Arabidopsis thaliana: one gene and its partner. The protein of the gene in region 2 interacts with the protein of the main gene of each other region in a pairwise test. Each region holds a gene or a part of one and is shown on either strand. Other genes may lie near its edges. The genes, in order: KNAT4 and OFP1.

Region 1 (10,665 bases), 3.2 Mb from region 2:
AACATTCAATGAGTACAATTTGAGCCACATCGGATTCCAAGATTAATGAAACCAAAAAGATAAAGAAAAAGAGATAAGTAAATATGCTACTTCAGATTGGCCTAAGATTCCCAAATAGATGGCAAATGCATAACTAAAAGTAAGCAAACAATGCGGAGAGATATGGACAACACAGAGAAGCATTGAAGAAGAAAGCAGAAGAGTGTAGAAGTGGTCCATTACAGAATTTAATTTCATTGAAAATTCTTCTTCTTTTTCTTTTCTTTTGATGTTTTGTGGTCCAATTTTGGAAGTGGACAAAGCCTAACTTTGAGTGTTAATAAGAGAAGCGGACACTTACGCCACTCTTATATTAGCAAGACATATGACATGTTTTATGTTACTCTGTACTATTGAGGCAATACTATTGTTGATTTAGTGTATTAATATTATTTTTTGTGTCGTCATCCAACTTTAGACCTAATAATCCATGTTATTAACACAAGTAAAAAGTGATTATATTACTATATATCCTAGTTCATCTGTGTTTATCTTTTATTCTTCTAAATATATACTCTAAGAACCTCAACAATTCAACGTTTCATTGTCAATAATCTACAAAAATGTGAATATGGCCACATTCTCACGTCTCCATCTCACTAATGTACAATTCAAAAGTATATAATAAGATAAAAAGCTTATAATACTACACTTATTTCGCTTATACATCTCATCAAAAGTTATATAAGAGAAAGGTTGGATGGGGACACATTTACAACATTATTTGATCAAGAATGAACTCTTGTTTCTGACAAAATATATATATTGCATGACTCACTGATTATGTATGACATATTTTTTTCTTTAATCTGTTATCCATCAATATTAAAATATTATATATGTATAACTAGTGTTAATACACAAATTATCCTAAATTTACAAAACTTTTTCAAAAAAATTACCCTAATTAAAATGAGAAGAAACTCATGAAACTTCAAAATAACATGGACATGGAACTCATTAAACTTTTACATGCTCACAACAATACATACTCAACATCACACTATATTAACGAGTAAGAGACACACATCAGTACGTCACTAAAAACATAAGCATCATAGCTGATTTAATTTATCTTTTATTTGTCCAAAGATATCCTTTAAAATATATATAAAATTAACGTTGTAAGAAACATGTAAAATAAAGTATTTTTATAGAAAGAAAGGAGACTTTTCACCAGTCATAACTCTATATTCTTTTGGCACAATAAGTAATGGTCACAACACAACAATGTCTTCACCAAAACCAAAGAACTAATTGAGTAAGAAGAAGAACCAAAGACTTGTTCAGCAATGTGGATAACCCCAATCTCTCTTTCTCAAGAGAGGCCAAATCACTCTTCTTTTCTCCGTTTTGTCTACTTTGAAACGTTTCTATCTTCTTTTTGTAGGATCGTTTGAACATTTCCCTTACTTTCTCTATTATTTGATATGATCATTTAGATTTCTTTTATATCATGGAGGGGACTACGATTTGTTTTCTCTATCTTTTTGGAGCAGAAGATCAGATTCTAATAAAATTTGATAAATGAGGTTTTTGTGTCTTGTACCGATATGACTTACACAATATCTTTAATTAACCAGTTTTATTGTTAATAACATGCATTATACAACTTTGAATATGGATTTTGAGACATTAACGATATGAGTGCATGCCATTATATGGTCAATCTTGAACCAATTAAAATTTGTTTTATATGTATATCTATTTTCACATAACATATTGTTTTACCAAAAAAAAATTTATTATCTGCTTTTGAAAGAAAACATAACCCAGTTATCTCTCTCAATAAATTTCATCCAACAACATTCCCCCCTCTCAATGCGTATATTTATTAAAAACTGGATAGTACATGATCGCGGTGAACATGAAAAACTCTATAGTATACATTAATATAATGGAACTGTTAGGGCGTATTAGACTTACTAAAAAATTATAAGATATAAGAAAAAGAAAAATCCTATGTAAGAAAATTCTCTCAAACAAAGGAACTGTTAGGGCGTATTAGACTTACTCTAATACGCTATAATGTGAATTACGAACAATAATCAAAGCAATAAGAGAAAGTAATTCACTATAGGAACAACTTTGGCATCGTTACAAAACAAAGTGAAAGATGAAGAGAAAACATCCTTTACGTTCCATCATTTTCATCCACAAACCTGACAAAAAGCTTCCTATGTTCTTTCTCTACTCTATCTTTATAATAAAATAAAGTATTTATGTTCTTTTAACTCAATGTTTTGATGTATATGTTGTCTATATTGTTAGGTTCCTTGTAATTTTCATCTATCACAAGCCAAGTAGTGTACAACAAAACAAATTAACAAAAGAAAGCATCATCATTATGAGCATCATCCTCGTATTAGATTCACTGTTTCTACAAACATCTTTTAGGAAAGAAAAAAAAAATTCCAACAAAACTGAATATCTTTATTTTGCTGAGATGACATTGTTTTGTCTTGTGTGTTAAGTTCTTGTGTTCAATATTGATAAATATAATCAAATGGCGATAGTTGACAAGTCACCAGGCCAGCGATCAAATACAATCTCTACGATCATCACATACTTATTCAAGGCTAGCTGCGTCTATATATTATAAAATTTTCATATAAGTTCCATATTAGTTTTTGTTTGTTTGATTGGCAAATGCACGGTTTTAATAATCTTGTTAGTCAATAAAGTTTAAAAATCAATCGCAAACCACTATAGATTAGTGTTTCCATAAAGAAGATTCATTGGCTTATGTATCAATGACTATTTAAAAAAAAAAAAAAATTGTAAACTAGACAAGATTTTTGCTAACAACCCCAATTATCATTAACTAATTAATTAATGATTTTGTTTCTGTCCCTAATATAGACAGCACAAGTTGTTGATTAAGATTCTTTGTACCACCCTACTCTTAGCTTTGGTCCTAGACAATCAATATAATTAAGTAGGTCCAAATCCAAGGCTTGTTTATGTGAATGTGAAATAAGAAATAATCGGTGATTTTTATTCAAAAAAGAAAAAATAATCGGTGGTGGTCGTTCAATCAGTAATCTCGAGGTCCGAAAGCACAATGCATATCACGAGTTCAAGATTTACTGGTGATTACAATTAACTTGGCACATTGTAATTACAAGATTTTTATATATATATTTCATGTTTCACTAACCATAAGGTAAGGAAATAAAAATAAAAATGAAGGAGTGATTAGTTGGAGCCGTAGGCCGTAGGGAACTTCGTCGTTTCTCGTAGAAAAGAGTGTAGGGACGACAAGAGTTGTTGTGAAATGGACGACTGTGATCGTTAATGTGACTCTCTTTGTCCAATCATGTGTTAGCTGATTCCACACGAAACATAGACCTTATCACACTGGAAGTTTACTTGACACATGTCTCTACTCTTTTATTCATCATCACTCAGACCTTACTGTTTGGATATTTTGGTGGATTCAACTTTGTCGTTTAGTCTCATTCATCGGCTCTCTCGCGTGTATCGCACGCAAATAGAACACTCAATGGCCAAATCTTGGAAGCAGTCAATGGCCACCAACCTTCAATAAATTACCACTAATCATTGGATAGTTCTAAGAAATGTCTACTTTCATATATTAATGCCAATTTTACCGGTTAAATTTTGACTTGACAACAAAAGATTTAACTTTTCTTATGAATACAAAATCAAAGAATAAATTTAAACTGAACAATTGGTATACGAGATAGAGAAACCAACTTCGATCAAAGTATGAGTAACGAAGCTTGATCAAAGTATGAGTAGGTTAAAGTTAAATTACTTTTAACAAGGTAGAGACAGGAGTGGTCGTGGATATAGGTTAGACTAGTCTAAGTGATGGAGCTTAATTAGACGGTTACGAATTGTTTTGCATCACATTCCTAATAAGTACATTAGATGGGTTTGATACAAATCGATGGATATTTATATTGTATTGCTTCCAATTCTCATATTAAAAACATTTGGAACCACATGCAAAAATTTATATGCTTGTAACATAAGTATATAATCTATTTATTTGTTTATTTTGTCAATGCTTAGTGATCAAATTAACAAAGTATAAGTATATGTATGTTTCTATAATATCTGAAATATTTATTCCTAGATAATATGTGTATGCCAAACATTTGATATCGTGTATCTGTAATCATGTTTTTTTAGCAGAAGTCATGAGTTCATACCAAAATTAATATGCAAATTTTATGTTTTTTCTGATGATGGGATTAAATTTGTCGTACTTTTTTGATAAGACAGCAACTATAAGCTTAAGTCAAATTTCTGAAATTGGTCCCCCACACCTCTAAATTTTTGAATCGTTTGTATTTTTTTTGTTACTAAATACAAAATAATGTAAAATTTAAATTTGTACGGCTGGATTCTCTTATCCGATCTATCGCATGCCAATTTCTTCAGGGACCACAATTAGAGGAAATCGTTATCACGACACGTGTCCTCCGATATTTTTGGCGCCGAGTAGTGACGTCATTATTAATGGTCCCCTCCTTCCTTGCTTTTTTCCCATTCGTCTACTCTCCTTTTTCTTTAACAAATTATCTTTTTTTTCCTCCGATATTCTTCAAAATTTGTTTTAAAATCCTTTGCAGATTTGTGTAATTTATTTACTTTTGCTTGGTACCAAAAACAAATAGAGCAAAAATGAGCAATTCTTTTTGATAAGCAGAAAAAAATGTTAGGAACGAATGAAGAAAAAGTGATGCAGCTATTTCCTTTTACTGTCACTTCGTAATTCGTATCATTCTTTTGCCGTCAACTTCTACCATCTCTTTTTTTTGTAAAACGATAAAACTTTTTGTTGTCGCTGTAAATGTTAGTAATCTGACCTAATCCCAATTTATTATGGATCACCAAAAAGCTGGTACTCTACAATTTAATAATAAAAGAAGAAGAATAAATATAGGAATAAATCGTCTTTTTTGGTGTAAGCTACATATAAAATTCAAACCGTCAAACACACATACACATCGAAACCCTTATATTTCATTTTCTTTCTGTTTTAGAGAAGAAAGTTTCTATAATTGATTGATAAATCTGAACATCAAAGCTAAGAATTTCTCTTCTTTTTTTCTTCTTAATTCATCTTTCCCTCTCCGAAACAGAAATTCAAAAACAAATTCAACACGAAAACGATGGCGTTTCATAACAATCACTTTAATCATTTCACCGACCAACAACAACATCAGCCTCCTCCTCCGCCGCAACAGCAGCAGCAACAACATTTTCAAGAATCAGCACCCCCTAATTGGCTCCTCCGCTCCGACAACAACTTCCTCAATCTCCACACAGCTGCCTCTGCCGCCGCTACAAGCTCCGATTCTCCTTCTTCCGCCGCCGCTAACCAGTGGCTCTCACGATCCTCATCCTTCCTCCAACGAGGCAACACCGCAAACAACAACAACAACGAAACATCCGGTGACGTCATCGAAGACGTTCCCGGCGGAGAGGAGTCAATGATCGGAGAGAAGAAGGAGGCGGAGAGGTGGCAGAATGCGAGACACAAGGCGGAGATACTGTCTCATCCACTATACGAGCAACTTTTGTCGGCACACGTGGCGTGCCTGAGGATCGCAACGCCGGTGGATCAGCTTCCGAGGATAGACGCACAGCTTGCTCAGTCTCAAAACGTCGTGGCTAAGTACTCAACTTTAGAAGCCGCTCAAGGACTCCTCGCCGGCGATGACAAGGAGCTTGACCACTTCATGGTAACTTAACTTCTCTTTCCTTCTTACCACTCTCAATTCCCATTATTTTATTCCTTTTCTTTTCTTTTGGAAAATAAAATCACTAAAAATTACTTTCATCTTTTATATTTAAAACGGTTTGACAAATTTGAATATTTTGTTGTTAATTATCTCCAAATTTATAAAAGTAAATTAGAGAAGAAAATCAAAAATTCTTTCTAGACTTGTACTTTGCACCGACAGACATGATCAGTGGGTTGGATAAATCGTCAGTTAAAAATTTGGATATTAGTTTTGCACAGTAGTAATTTGACAGCATAAGGTTTATTTTGAGATAGATTTTTGCTGAGTGTAAGTGATTGAGCAATTTCATTGATTGCAGTTACGGATACAGTGATCTGACAAAAACTAGTTTGTCACTTTCTGTATCTATATCCCATATTTTACTGTTCATGGACGTATTTGTATGATTGTATCTGTTGTCTGAAAGATATTTCCATGTTTTTGTGCAGACGCATTATGTACTATTGCTTTGCTCTTTCAAAGAACAACTGCAACAGCATGTTCGTGTTCATGCAATGGAAGCTGTTATGGCCTGTTGGGAGATTGAACAGTCGCTTCAAAGTTTTACAGGTTAGTTTTTAAGACTTCTACTAAATTATCAACTTTAATTTGTCATTTAGCTGTTATGGTAACTTTTGTATTTCACTATAGTATTGTAAAAGACACAAGGTTCTTTTATTTTATTTCTCATTTCAATGCTGTTTTTTATATTTAGTACCTACTTCTTGAGGTTTTAATTTAACACTTGTTTTGTTGAATGAGACAGGGGTATCTCCTGGTGAAGGCACAGGAGCAACAATGTCTGAGGATGAAGATGAGCAAGTAGAGAGTGATGCTCATTTGTTTGATGGAAGCTTAGATGGGTTAGGGTTTGGTCCTCTAGTTCCCACTGAGAGCGAGAGATCTTTGATGGAACGAGTCAGACAAGAACTCAAACATGAACTCAAGCAGGTAACTAGTGAAATATACTATATCCATCATTTACTACTACACATATATAAGATCAATGATAACAAATCCTTCACACCTTATTATATATCGTTGTAGCTAAAGTAAATATGCTTCTATTTAGTCCAATCAACCAAGAACTTGTCAAAACTTTATTTTTGATCTACAAAAAGACTCAAATGAATTTATGATTTTTAATTGTCTGAAGCTTGTTTGATGAGTTGTCAGTTTGCAACATCTACATAGTACTTACACGCACTTATATGCATGAAAATTGTGGTACACACTATATATAGTTAGCTTAACTAATGATATTGACCCATGTTTTTGTGAAAAGGGTTACAAGGAGAAAATTGTGGACATAAGAGAGGAGATACTGAGGAAGAGAAGAGCTGGAAAATTACCAGGAGACACCACCTCTGTTCTCAAATCATGGTGGCAATCTCATTCTAAGTGGCCTTACCCTACTGTGAGTTCCCTCTTTCTACTTCTTCAGTCACTCGCATGAACACGCCTCGTGGGTCTTTACCTAGTTCTGTCCCGAAAATCTTTGACTACATCATTTTTGCAACTTCATATGCTTTCTCAATCTCCTAAGTTTTAAATGAATCATGTAAATTTTGACAGGAGGAAGATAAGGCGAGGTTGGTGCAGGAGACGGGTTTGCAGCTCAAACAGATAAACAATTGGTTCATCAATCAAAGAAAGAGGAATTGGCATAGCAATCCATCTTCTTCTACCGTCTCAAAGAATAAACGCCGAAGGTACTTTGCACCAACATAACTTTATAGGAAGAGTATCCAAGAAAAGACAAAATATGATCACACGATAAGATACAATCTCTGAAATATATATATGTTAGGTGTGACAAAGTTTAGCTTGTTTATGTATGGTTAGATTAATGTTTAGTTACATTTTCAAGATATATGGAGTCATTAAATTTGGAGGGTTTTCTTTATGAAGCAATGCAGGTGAAAACAGCGGAAGAGACCGTTGAGATCAAGCTTGCATGTAGAGATCCAAAAGCTTTATAGAAAGGTGGAGGCATGAAGACAAAGAATTCTTACACAACAAACGTAGGACGTAATTTTGTGCCAGTACATGGTATGGCTTTCATATTTGGTAATGATTAGGGCCACACAAAATTAAACCCCAAAGCATGATTTGTAATATGAGGTTTTAGATGGACTTTATGATAGGATCGTCAGTCTTCACTGCCATCTCCATTCTCCACCATCAATCCATCATTATATCTTGTGAATAACATGGAAATTTCTCGTTATGCATTTAATTTGTGCAATCATTGGCCGTAATCTACACAAATATACATATTAATTTAGCTTGAATATATTATCTCAATTAATGGTTTCAATTTTTTTGTTTTGTTTTGTGAGTGGAACCACTTTTTATGTGGAATTGTTAACCCTAATGCCAAAATCTAAACTCTGCGAAGGTCGCCAGCAAACGAAAGAAAGAGATTATCTCCGCCGTTGTCAAAATTATTAAAAGGGATTATAAAGTTTTTCAATTTGGGCCCCTTTCCTGCGTTTTCTTTATTGTCCATTATGGGCCTCATTGTCTCTAGACTCTCTACCTTACAGGGTTTGCTCGCCGACGTTTCATACATAGTCCTCTTGTTTCTAAGGATGCCGATTAACACTTTTCATTTTTATCAACAAACTGGCTTGCAAGGGTTTTGAACCTGAGTGATGACCTACCATTTCTATCCATACTATAATCAGATTTTTTTTTGTTCTTTTTTATAATCAAGTTGGTGAAATAATTAACAACAATACTAGCACAAATCATTAACATAATGGTTCATACCTCATAGCCATATAAGATCATGAAAAAGTTATAGTTTTAGAAGTTTGTTTTTATTTTTAGTTAAAATTTAGTTTTTCCAATTAAGACCGAGTTATTAGTTAACAATGTAAAACTTAAGTAAATGCGATTTCTTTGGATTGGTTTGATTCGACTACAGTAAAACATAGGTCTTTGTTTTGTTTTAACCATAATAAAATCAATTGGATTATAAATAACTTTAGTTCTAATTCCGTTTACACATTTAGGTTTGCTTCAATTATAATCCTTCATGGAGATAGATAGCTAGATTAGTGGTGGTAATAATGTATGAGTTGAGAGAGTCTCTTTTTAGGTAGAATAAGATTGCACATGACGTGGCATTGTGAACGTTGTGGGGTTTTGTGATTGGTCTTGTCTTCTACTTACAAGACAGTCATATGAGAGGAGCATTTTAGAGCTGGCCCAATCATAAAAGACAGCTAGCTCTCTGTGACTCTGTGTTATCCGTTATGTTGCAGCAGCGACGAAAACAATTTGCTTCTTCTTCTTCTCTTTTGTCCTTATAGATAATACTTTTCTTTTCAAAATCAATTCACAATTGCTGAAGATATCAAAGATTCGTTATCTGAAAGTGACGCAGAAAAAGTACACAAAATAAAAGTGTTAGTGGGTAACTGGAGGATAGATAGAGAATATAAACAGAGAGGACGACAAAGAAGTTCAACATTCTCTCTAGTTTATCGCGCGCTTCTTTCTGTTACACGTTAGCCAATCTATGAGGAACATTTTCTGATTTTTTTATATGTAAGTATATTAGGATAATCATTGATACAAATATTCGATTCATCTGGTGTTTCTCTAAAAGATTAGGATATTTATGGGAGAAGAAGCTCTTCCTCGAACACCAATACGAGGAAATAACGTTCAATGAAGTTTGACATTACATCTTAATATTATATTTTAAGATATTTTTTAATATGCGATGAAGGAATTCATCTATGTAGTACGGTAACAATTGCAAGTTGAGGACGTCACGATTTCATTAGTTTTTATGGCATATCTATATTCGTCGTTGGGGACACGATGCAAGTATATTATTTTTTTTTGATAAAGCAAACTTTACAGTTGACAAAAAAAAATTACACCTTTACAATTTACAAAATATATGTTTAAAACATATCATAATACATTTGTTAATTAGAAACACTATGGATTTATATAGAAAATGTACTGGACTAATGGTGGATACAAATATCTAAAATGGAAACAATCAATGACGATGATTGATATTGAATGTTGTGACTCGATAGGAGATCAAGTCTAGAGATAGTTGTAAGGGAAAAAGTAGAAAAGAGTATAATACACTAAAAATGTATAGTAGACAAAACGAGCAAGATTTGAGGCATCAGAAGAGAAAGAGACATGTCGACCGGTGGCAAGTGGTAGGTATCACTATGTAACAACACAAACGTCAAAACATGTGAGAAAGCGTTTTTGCTTCGCTTTTCTTTTTCAATTTTCCCCACTTCACTTCACTTCACACAGTCACACTCTTATCCTCAGTATCTCCACTTCTTTTTTCAATGAAATGTTGTGGATAAATAATACGATAATTGGCATCCACTATCTTAAACCAGCTTTGTATGACTATGCCCGTGACAGCTTACCAGAATCTCTGTGTTTTGATTAATACTATTTCCAGACACTAAAGGTTCTTTTTTCCTAACCTAATTCATAATTAGTCGAAACGTAAAGATTGATTCTTCTAATTATTAATATTCATATATAATTCCAGTAGCTGAATCAGGTTCCTGTGTTCTATCTAAAAGTATACTATACAAATAAAAACCTTTTTCTTCTCGACATGAGTTTAATACTATATGAATATGACTACACAAATATTTTTATATTTTTTGAAAAAGATAAATATGTTGATGTTGTATACCCAAAAAATTGTGTTTTAGCTCCAAAAAAATACCAATGTCTTGCTTCAACGGTCTCAATGATCACGATCCATAAATCATAAATTTTATAAAGTTCAAACGTTTCTAGCTACAAGCTAGTTTCATATGATGCCGACACATTAATTCATAGCTTTCGTCTCTTGTCC
Region 2 (10,665 bases):
TTCCCTTTATTTTATTGGCCCAAATGCTTTGCTATTTATTTTTTTGGGTCCGAGATAGAATTCAATAAACTATTTGTGTTATAATAATTATTCAGCCTAGTGTTGGATTTAGACCCAAAACAAAAATAACATCATCCCTACCAAAAATCATAAACTTAGAATAAGAAATTCAATGTTCCCATGTCCAATAGTTTTAATAAAAACGTATAAGATGTGAGTTGATCGATATAAAAAAGCAATATAGATATTGGAACTTTGTAGACATTATTACAATAATTAATCCAATTTTTTAAGTCTGTACATCAAGGCATTGCGTATGAGTGGTGCCATTGCAATCCATATAAGCTACATTCTATTGTTTCTCAATTTTCAACTATTTAAATAGATACCCAATAGCCATTATATTAAATTGACACTGAGAAGTGCGTGATGATTCTTGATTTGTTATGTGGATCTTTTCTTTGGTTGACAACAACAACAAGAAAAAAAAAAATTTAAACAATAATTTTTTTGTGTAAAATTTTAAAAATGCAAACATCTCATAATTTGCTTTAAAGGGAAACTACTCGTTTAAAATAAAAGGAAAGGTAACTTTGGTAATGGAAACATTTTGTTATATAATTTGAGAAATACTACTAGTATTCAATAATTCACCGGAAAGTGGAGAGAGCCAGCAGAGCAGATTCAATTATAAATTATGAAAAAATTAGAATGATTAGTTATGTGAGTATATATAATTTAAATATATTGAAAAAGAGAAGACGAGATCAATTCTCTCTAACAAACTTGTACCAACTGTTGCATTCTTATGTCACCAAAACGAAGACCTTATCTTCATTCTTACATTTCTTATATATTGTAATCAGTGTTGCTCGACAACTCACGAGGCGTGTAGGCGTGTGTTATTCTAAAAAACTGTAGTTATGGAAGAAAATCCAAAGCAGTCATTAGATAAAACTGGTTTTAGATTAAAACTAAGCTAAGTTATGGCCTATGGGTTAGTTGTGAAATAAAAATTGGGTTTGGTCTAATTTCGGCCAAAAAAACATTACCATAAGAGAAAAAGTCAAAAGAGAAGGGAATGTTTGACCTCTCGCCTCTCGTGCTCCTCTGTAAGGCGGCTTTGTCCTCTCTGCGACTGACTGACTTCTTCTGACGGCTCCGTCCACCGTCGTCTCTTCTTCCGTTACGACTTTTTCTTCCAATTAAATAACTTTAACCAAAGGAAAATTTGAAACGCCAGCTCCTCTCTCCGTGTAACAAACCAACAACTACAACCAACAAGAGCTTAGAGCTCTCTTTCTTTCTTTCTTCTTCCTTTTCTCTTTTCCATTCCTAAACAAAAGTCTTTCTTCCTCATCAATGGCTGTTACTCTTGATTCTCCTTCTCCGGCGAGAAAACGTCGCCCTTTGGTCGTCGGGTCATTCGAATCTCCGAAGCTTTCTTCAGATACCAAACTGACTCGGTCTCTGTTTCTGGCGTCTCATGAGATTTCTTCTATGCAGCCTCTCCCATTCATTCTCCGACGCAATTCTCTCTCCCTCATTCGCAAAGTGAAGATATTAGCTTCCGTCTTCGATGAGCTTCTTCTCCCTCGTTCCCAACTTGTCGTCTACTCTCAATCCGCTCATCTCTGCTTCGAAGAAATGCAAATCGTTATGCAACGTATCAAGTCTTTGATCGATGACTGTTCTCGTGTTAGCAAACTCTGGCTACTCTTGCAGATCGACATCGTTGCCTTCAACTTTCACGAGCTTGTCACCGATTTATCCACCGTTCTTGATATTTTACCGCTCCATGACTTTGACCTCAGCGACGACGCCCAAGATCTCATCTCTCTCCTTACAAAACAATGCTCCGATTCTGTTCAGTTCGTCGACGCCCGCGACGTTGCTCTCCGTCGTAAAGTCACCGATACAATCGCCGGGATCAAGCACCAGATCTCACCGGATCACTCTACTCTCATCAAGATTTTCAACGACCTTGGTTTATCCGATTCTGCTAGTTTGACCGACGAAATTCAGAGATTGGAAGACGAGATTCAGGATCAGATCGACGACAGATCCAAATCCGCAGCCGCCTCTCTTATCGGACTCGTCCGTTACTCTAAGTGCGTCTTATACGGTCCCTCCACGCCGGCTCCAGATTTCCGCCGCCACCAATCCTTATCTGACGCTAACATCCCCGCGGATTTCCGGTGTCCGATCACCCTCGAGCTGATGCGGGATCCGGTGGTGGTTGCCACCGGTCAAACATACGATAGAGAGTCCATCGATCTTTGGATCCAATCGGGGCATAACACGTGTCCGAAAACAGGTCAAGTCCTCAAACACACCAGCCTCGTACCTAACCGTGCCTTGAAGAACCTCATCGTTTTGTGGTGCCGCGATCAGAAGATACCGTTCGAATTATACGGTGACGGCGGCGGAGAACCTGCGCCGTGCAAGGAGGCGGTGGAGTTTACGAAGATGATGGTTTCGTTTCTCATCGAGAAGCTCTCCGTGGCAGATTCTAACGGTGTCGTGTTCGAGCTCCGGGCGCTCGCAAAGTCAGATACTGTGGCCCGAGCCTGCATAGCCGAGGCTGGAGCCATACCCAAGCTGGTTCGTTATCTAGCCACAGAGTGCCCGAGCCTTCAGATAAACGCCGTTACGACGATCCTAAACCTATCCATCCTGGAACAGAACAAAACGAGGATCATGGAAACTGACGGAGCTTTAAACGGCGTCATCGAGGTTCTTCGTTCGGGTGCCACGTGGGAGGCTAAGGCTAACGCAGCCGCGACATTGTTCAGTTTGGCGGGCGTCTCGGCATACAGAAGAAGACTCGGGAGAAAAGCACGTGTCGTAAGCGGATTGGTTGACTTGGCTAAGCAGGGCCCCACCAGCTCTAAGAGAGACGCGCTCGTGGCGATCCTAAACCTGGTGGCTGAGAGAGAGAACGTGGGGAGGTTCGTTGAGGCTGGGGTAATGGGAGCCGCAGGAGATGCATTCCAGGAGCTACCGGAGGAAGCGGTGGCTGTCGTGGAGGCGGTGGTCAGGAGGGGAGGACTCATGGCGGTTTCTGCCGCTTTCAGTTTGATTCGACTTTTGGGGGAGGTGATGAGAGAAGGAGCGGATACCACAAGGGAGAGTGCGGCGGCAACGCTGGTCACGATGTGTCGGAAAGGAGGGTCGGAGCTAGTGGCGGAGATGGCGGCTATTCCAGGGATAGAGAGGGTTATATGGGAGATGATAGGAGCTGGAACGGCCAGGGGAGGGAGGAAAGCGGCGTCATTGATGAGATATCTAAGACGGTGGGCCGCCGGAGATACCCATAACACGGCGGCGGAAACGCAGAGCATTGTAGTGCCAACGCCAAGTAGGATTTTTAGTCCAGTTTTATGATTTTTCATTTTTTTGTTTTCCCCTCTTCTTCTTGTGTAAAGTTTAAATGTTTTTTTTTTCTTTCCTGATGATTTGAAAAGAAATTGATTCTTTTACAAAGTATTAAAAGCTGCAATTGTAAATGTAAATTCGAGAAAAGAACGAGAGATTTTTTCCCTTTTACTGGATGAACTTTACACAGTGTTATGATGTTGTTTACTAATCTCTCATAACTCATAACTAGTGTTTTGACAGGAACTAATAAAAATCTTGAAAGCATATTAGAGTTATCATATGTGTGTGAATAAAGAGACAAAAGAATTGGCACAAAATTTCAACACAAAAGACAGAGCAAATCCACAAGAGATATACACACAAGCATGTTCCTAAAGGAGTGATGATGATTGGAAATGGAACTGATTGCAAATAGCAACAATCTTTCTTCCTAGAGAAGCAAACCTTTTTGTTTGTTGTTTTTTTACGTTTTGGATCTTTCGAAGCATTAAATAAAATATCTTCTTCTTCCTTTCCCTCTTTTTTAAACGGTTAATTTTATTACAGAACTATTACAAAACCAGAAAACACATTTGAGGAAAAGAGTGACGGTGTTGAGAATTTATGAAGCGGAGTGAGAGACAAGAAATATGTTCAAACCAAAGAGTGAGGTTGGAGTTTTTCATCGAAGCAGAGTAGTTGATGTTTAAGGAAAAGCTGTTCTGTAACTTTTTACAACCATCAGTTAACCATGGCAGAGAACAAATACATAGAGATGTAACGTGTTATTTTTTGTTTGTTTGTTTAAACGTGTATAAAATGACCATGAATAAGTTGGCAAATTTGTGTCTCTGTAATATTATTATTTTTGGTTTCAATTTGACAGATTCTTTAGTTGGAGTTTAAAATTGATGAAGAGGAAAATATAAGAGGTGCTATCGTTAAGTGAAACTATTGGGCCGAAAACATATAGGCCCATTTTAAAATTTTGGTTTGTTTTGCAAGAGATCCCAGATCTCGAAGCGTGCGATAATGTTTGAAAAAAGCAGGTTTCTCTCTTCTTTATTTGTTGTCAAACCCAAACACCTACTTACGGAAACTGTAACACAATAAAGTGAGTGACCACTTTCTTTTTTTACACTATCGATGATACAACTTTTTAATATCATCGTGGTGCACATTTTAAAAGGATTACAATGACCACGATTAAACTAGTAATTAGTACATATACAAACTAGTAATTACTCTATTATTTATTTCTTTGGTACGAACACTACTTGTGTATTACTATTACTAAAACATATAATAAAAGTGTCAGTGTCAAATGTCAATGTAATTTAATTTAGGGGAAAATGAAATGGCCAACATAATCTAACACAAAATCAATGAAAATGGAGAGAGCATCTCACTCACCTTATAATAACCTTTATATTTTCCACGTATGTGGGCCCCCTCACATAAACCTCTCTTTCCTTTATAAATTCTCCACTCTTCACACTCTCACTTTTGTTCATGTACCAAAGAAGTCCCCAACAAACACAAAATAATCAACAGAGAGAGTCAGAGAGATAATGGGTAATAACTATCGGTTTAAGCTATCGGAGTTAATCCCTAACGCTTGGTTTTACAAACTTAGAGACATGTCCAAATCCAAGAAGAAGAATCTTCAGAGCCAACCAAATAGCACCACCTCCAAGAAGAAACACCACGCAGTCCCTACTCCTACGTCCACAACGCCACTCAGTCCTAGGCCTCCTAGGCGCCCTTCTCACTCTTCCAAAGCGCCACCCTCCCATCCTCCCAGGAAGTCCTCCGGGAACCGTCTTCGTCACCGAGCCACCGTCGACTCTAAGTCTTCCACGACTTCCGGCGACAGCACTACCACAGAAACAGGTTCTTTCTCACCGGACTTTCGCTCGGATCAAGTTCTCCTCCCCGACGAGTCATTAACGGGCTCCTGGCACAGCCCTTGCAGCTCCAAGTTATCCAAAACCGCAACCTTTACGCCGCCGCCGGAACTCGAACTCCGGCCCATCATTACCAAAACGGCCGCCACCGCACGGAAAACGGCGGTGAATTCTCCGGCGGGGGTGAGACTTAGAATGCGGTCGCCGCGGATCTCGGTGAGCAGCAGCGCAAGAAGAAGCGGGTCGTCGGCTCGGCGGAGCAGGGCGGTGGTGAAGGCGTCGGTGGATCCGAAGAGAGACTTTAAGGAGTCGATGGAGGAGATGATCGCTGAGAACAAGATAAGAGCGACAAAGGATCTAGAGGAGCTTTTGGCTTGCTATCTCTGTCTCAATTCAGACGAATATCACGCTATTATCATCAATGTCTTCAAGCAAATCTGGCTTGATCTTAATCTTCCACCACCCCATTCCAAATAATTTTATTATTAAGAAAAAAACATCTTCTTATATAGTATTAATTACTCCTTAATAATTAATCGCTCTACTGAATAAAAATGTAAATATATATGATGTTGATGATGATGATTCTTGTACTAACTATATTTATATGTAATAATGGTCTAGAGAGAGCCTACAGTCTTGTACTTGCATAACGGCCATCGTTGATGATATCAAGTACAGGAATTTTCTATCCGGATTGGTACTCTTCTACGAATCTTACTTTGCACGGACAAGCAAGTGTTACTTTAAATCAAATTTTGAATGTGGACGACTATAAACCTACTTTTGCGTCATCAATCATACTATATATACAGCTCACTCTTCAAGTCTAAATTTTTTAAAAGAGATTTAAAAATGATTGGAAACTCATTCATTGTGATCATGAGTTAGCAAGTGTTCATGTTGACAACAATTACTCTGCATCACGTTATAGACTAAGACTAATAGTGAACGTTTTATATTTAGTGTATCCATTATATTAGACCTACGATGCCGACAACTCATTAAAACAGCATCTGCGCCTATTTTCAGACCTAACTTTGGATATGTGTGTACGTGTGCATTTCTCAATTTCACACACATCTATATTTATTTATTTATATGTGTAGTTAACTTTTTAAAAAATAAAAAAAAATTGACCACGACGTATTGTTTTGTATAATATTTATATGTATATGCATGCAGTGCATAACACATACAAACAGTGCGACAAGCAAGAAGAAAACAAAACATTTTTACTTTTAGGCATATAAGTGCCAAAGAAAACAAAAAATCCAATTGGCTGTTTTTTATTTATTTATATCAGTGATGGGTGACAAATGACGAGAATATATAGGAAAAGGTAACATATCGGAAAAAAAAAAATTATATGAATATATGTAGATATTATAGTAAAATAAAATAAAATTAGTGATGAATGGTTCTTACTGGCAAACTTTTGCTTCTGTGTTTTATGGTTGTATCGTTATCATGATATTGATGTCATTTTGTTTTATGTAAATCTTCCATGAGATTTTGGTTTAATAGAGTTAAACATCAATCTTAAAAGAAAATTGTGGAATTCTTAAAATATAAAAATAGGAACTGAAAAGGAATCTCACGCGACATTAAACTGACAAAGCATATTTTAGGTTTTATGGGTTTCCAAGGAAAGAAGCAGATTACAAAACGAAACTTGCTCGTTGATTTCTCACCGTTATAAAATAAATAAATAAAAACATATACTGTATTATCAAACTCCTCAATAATTTTTTTTGCCAAGATTACTCTTAGATCCTTAGGTATTGTTGTAATATCTTTACATTTCATTTTCAATGAAATTAACATTCATAGAAAAAAAAGAAAAAACTGTATATCATGAAGATTATATTCAATTATAAATGTTCACATTCAAACTAGACTAATAATTAGTAGATATGAGTAAATTTAGAATTATGTGGTAAGATTTCTATTGAAATACATTACAAAACATCAACCTATATATTGAATAATAATAATAATAAATCATATACGTGTGCGGAGTTAAGTACTGTTGCACAAAAGTGAATATTACACTGACTGAAGTTCAAAACAGGGACCAAAAAAGGTGAAGTAAAAAGTACCCAAAATCTATCTCTCTTTTTTTCGATACGATAATACACACTCATACAAAAAAAGGTTCAAAAGCTTTGTCGGGCACGCCGGCCATGGACTACAACGAATTTTTTGTAAAATTGTTAAGAAAAATTACAACAATACTTTTTTATATAAATAAAAATATAAGTACAACAATACTTTAAATTAAATTGTTTGATATCATCGCATGGTAGTAAGAGTACACAATAATAAGTATGAGACGTTTATACTCCCAGATTTTTAATTTAAGTTTCTTGCTTAAAACATGGACTTGTGATGTACGGGTACAAAGACAACAATTTACAAAGATCTGAGATACCTATTAGAAACAAATTATAAATGTATAATAATGTGTTTCTTTACTGGTGGTGGCCAGTGTCCGTGTGATGTACGGGTACCCCCACCACTATGAATTTTCAAAATCAGCATTTCTAAATATAATATAATATTGATATTTGGACTTGACTATACCTATATCAACATACAATTAATTTACTTGTTTCCCGGTAAATAGTATACTTCGAAAATAAAACCATTCCACAACGAAATGATGTGAAAACTCTCACTTGGACATAAATTATGATCCCTTTGTAAAAAATTAAGAAAGAGTATCTTGTTAGAACTGCGACGTATCATAGACGCGTTTTCTATTTGGAATGATATATAAAAGTTGTTTTTATTCGTTTGTCTCTCCTTACTTATCACTAGCACATTTTTAGATAAAGTTGTAAGTAATCCACAAGGCACAACTTTCTTTTTCCGTGAAATGTTTTTGTAAGTAGGGCCATTTCATAATTACACAAGATAGAGAAGTACATGTCAACGAATTTATTATGTTTTATTTTTAACATATAAAACAATTAGAATTGTAAAGTAAATAGCAACCAAGCCGAATGTTGCAAAAAAGATTGAGGAGTATATGACACTGTTAAAACGGAACTGTATAAACCTAACCGAGTGACAAAAATTATGTACATTACATATTATGATATGAAGTGAAAGAATCAAACCCAAAACTGAATTGGACAACGTTACCGTGGTTATTTGGATGTAAGCTACGTACGAACCATCTCTGCATTAAATAAATTGGAAGAAGAGTTATATATAGACTAGTTATGTAGAAATTATACGTGTTATAATAATTTAAGAAGTTGATCGAGATTTCGAAGAAGATGTAATAATGGCGAAGAATTGTCGGTGAGCCGCAAGTGGAGACTCGGTCAACGACCATTTAACTGAACTTGCCTTGCGCGCGATCCGACATTATCACCGGAGATTCTGCGTCTTGTGACCTTTGTCTCTCCGCCGTCCATATTTTCATTTTGAATCAAATAAAACAAGTACACGACACACCAAAAACAAAACTACTATTACATTGGGTTTTCGTTTTGCAAGAAAGTCACCGAGGTTCACAGTTTCTCAGTGAATTTAGTCGAGCGGTTTTTTTTGGCTATTGATGATGGTACATGGCGTGCTGAGTTATTAGTATACCTACAAAACATTTTCTTTTTTGAACAAAACAAGTTTGAAATACCATTTTTTAAATTGTTTTGTCTTCATATCGTTAATTGGGATGATTGAAATCAGTTACCGTTTGTATGACTTGGCAAACATTAAGCCGTACCTAGCAAACATTATGTGTGTCCTTTTCGGGTCCTAATAATCACTGCATGAATTATTATTCTTATACTACTCTTTATATATCAATTAAAGGATGAGGCCGAAGGCAAAATCGAGTTACCACTTTGCACGTGTTACGGACTTCGTGCATTTCACATCAGAACTTTTTTTTCTCCTCTTTATTCATCGCACAACAGTTTAACAAGTTTATGACATCTAATGCAAGAGTAACAGAAACAACAAAACAGAGGCCATTTTGTATTATGTTATTTATTATTTTACCTATCATCGCTGCGTCAATTGTCAAATCTCTTTATGGGATTTGACTCTTGCGTGAAATAAAACCACATTTTAGTATTTTTTTCGTTTTTATTTGGATAAAGACAATTTACACAACCCGTCTGTGCCCATCACTCTTATAGATTGTTTTTTTCCCCTTTTTAAGTTAGTCGAAGAATTATGTGCCAAAAATCAATACATCTTTTGTGTGGATATAAATCAGTTTATATTATAAGTCGGAAATTTCAAAGACTTAAAAATTTTTAGAAGGTCCGAGAACTCGCCATTGACCCAAAATTTATTTGGTCCTTAAAGTTGTTAAACTCTGAAATCAGTTTTACGCTCATATATTTCATTTTGTATATGCAAATTTAAATTGCATCTAAATTACTGAAATATTGTTATGCATGCAAACAACGTTGGTATTTGGTAGCCATAAATATTAGCTGTTTTGTATTTTTAGGTGTTATATACATATTACATAGCCTTAAAAGTAGTTATACTTAAGGATATTTTTCGCCACCGTATTGTTTAATAATATTAAAAATTCGTATAATGCACGTGTCTTTGGTACGTCCATGCAAAACTTGTAATGCGAGACGACGAAGACAGACGACACGAGGAACAACCAACGCTACATGAACTGGACCACTTTTTTAATTTAAAGTATAAAATCAATGTCGTTTGTTGTTTTGTGTTTCTGTTTCAACACCGTAAACTAAAAGTTTTAAAACATTTTCATACAGTAAATTAATGTTCTTCTTTAACAGAAACTAAGTTAATTTTTCCTTTTAACAGAAAACAGAATAAGTTACCCTTCTACCCAAAAAAATAATAACTTTTCAAAGAATTCCATTATGAGTTATAATTCCATTAAATTTAATATGATAATGGAACCCACATTATTGAATTAAGTTAAAAAACACGTATGAATAACTTTTTCTTACTATGAACACCCTCACTTTTATATAAAGACACCAAATCCTTCCATCGTAGATTCATTTCGGTCCGCTAGCATTCTCGTTCAATTAGTAGTCAACCAGTAACAAAAGTAATAAATCCGTTTTTACGTGAGACATTGCAGAGCTTAGAAATAAGAGAATATCATTATCTATGTTTAGAAGTTTCAATTCGAAAGTAAAATGAGGTAGTGTAATATGCAAGAGACATGAACTACTCATTCACTAATAACCAAATAATCTCGAGGATAACCATGAAAATTAACACCAAAATCATTACAATTGTAATTTACGTATTTAGTTTTCATAGCAAATTTTGAAACTTGTGATTTTGAAAATTTTATGTTTGGAATGACATTTTGGTACATTATATTGGATAACTATTTGTCTTTTGTAGGTGTTTTTAAGAACAGATACATATACAA

What was found.
Region 1: the proteins of OFP1 (region 2) and KNAT4 interact in a two-hybrid assay, tested with the Arabidopsis thaliana proteins (one large-scale study listed by BioGRID).

Annotation. Positions count from the first base shown.
Region 1 is NC_003076.8:3,505,222-3,515,886, forward strand, and holds KNAT4 (homeobox protein knotted-1-like 4), read left to right. Parts: upstream 1-4,611; 5' UTR 4,612-5,186; coding exon 5,187-5,759; intron 5,760-6,250; coding exon 6,251-6,371; intron 6,372-6,567; coding exon 6,568-6,752; intron 6,753-7,086; coding exon 7,087-7,218; intron 7,219-7,376; coding exon 7,377-7,513; intron 7,514-7,712; coding exon 7,713-7,746; 3' UTR 7,747-8,520; downstream 8,521-10,665.
Region 2 is NC_003076.8:319,621-330,285, forward strand, and holds OFP1 (ovate family protein 1), read left to right. Parts: upstream 1-4,807; 5' UTR 4,808-4,931; coding exon 4,932-5,744; 3' UTR 5,745-6,058; downstream 6,059-10,665. Other genes in the region: SAUR21 (ARM repeat superfamily protein), read left to right, coding at 1,363-3,387.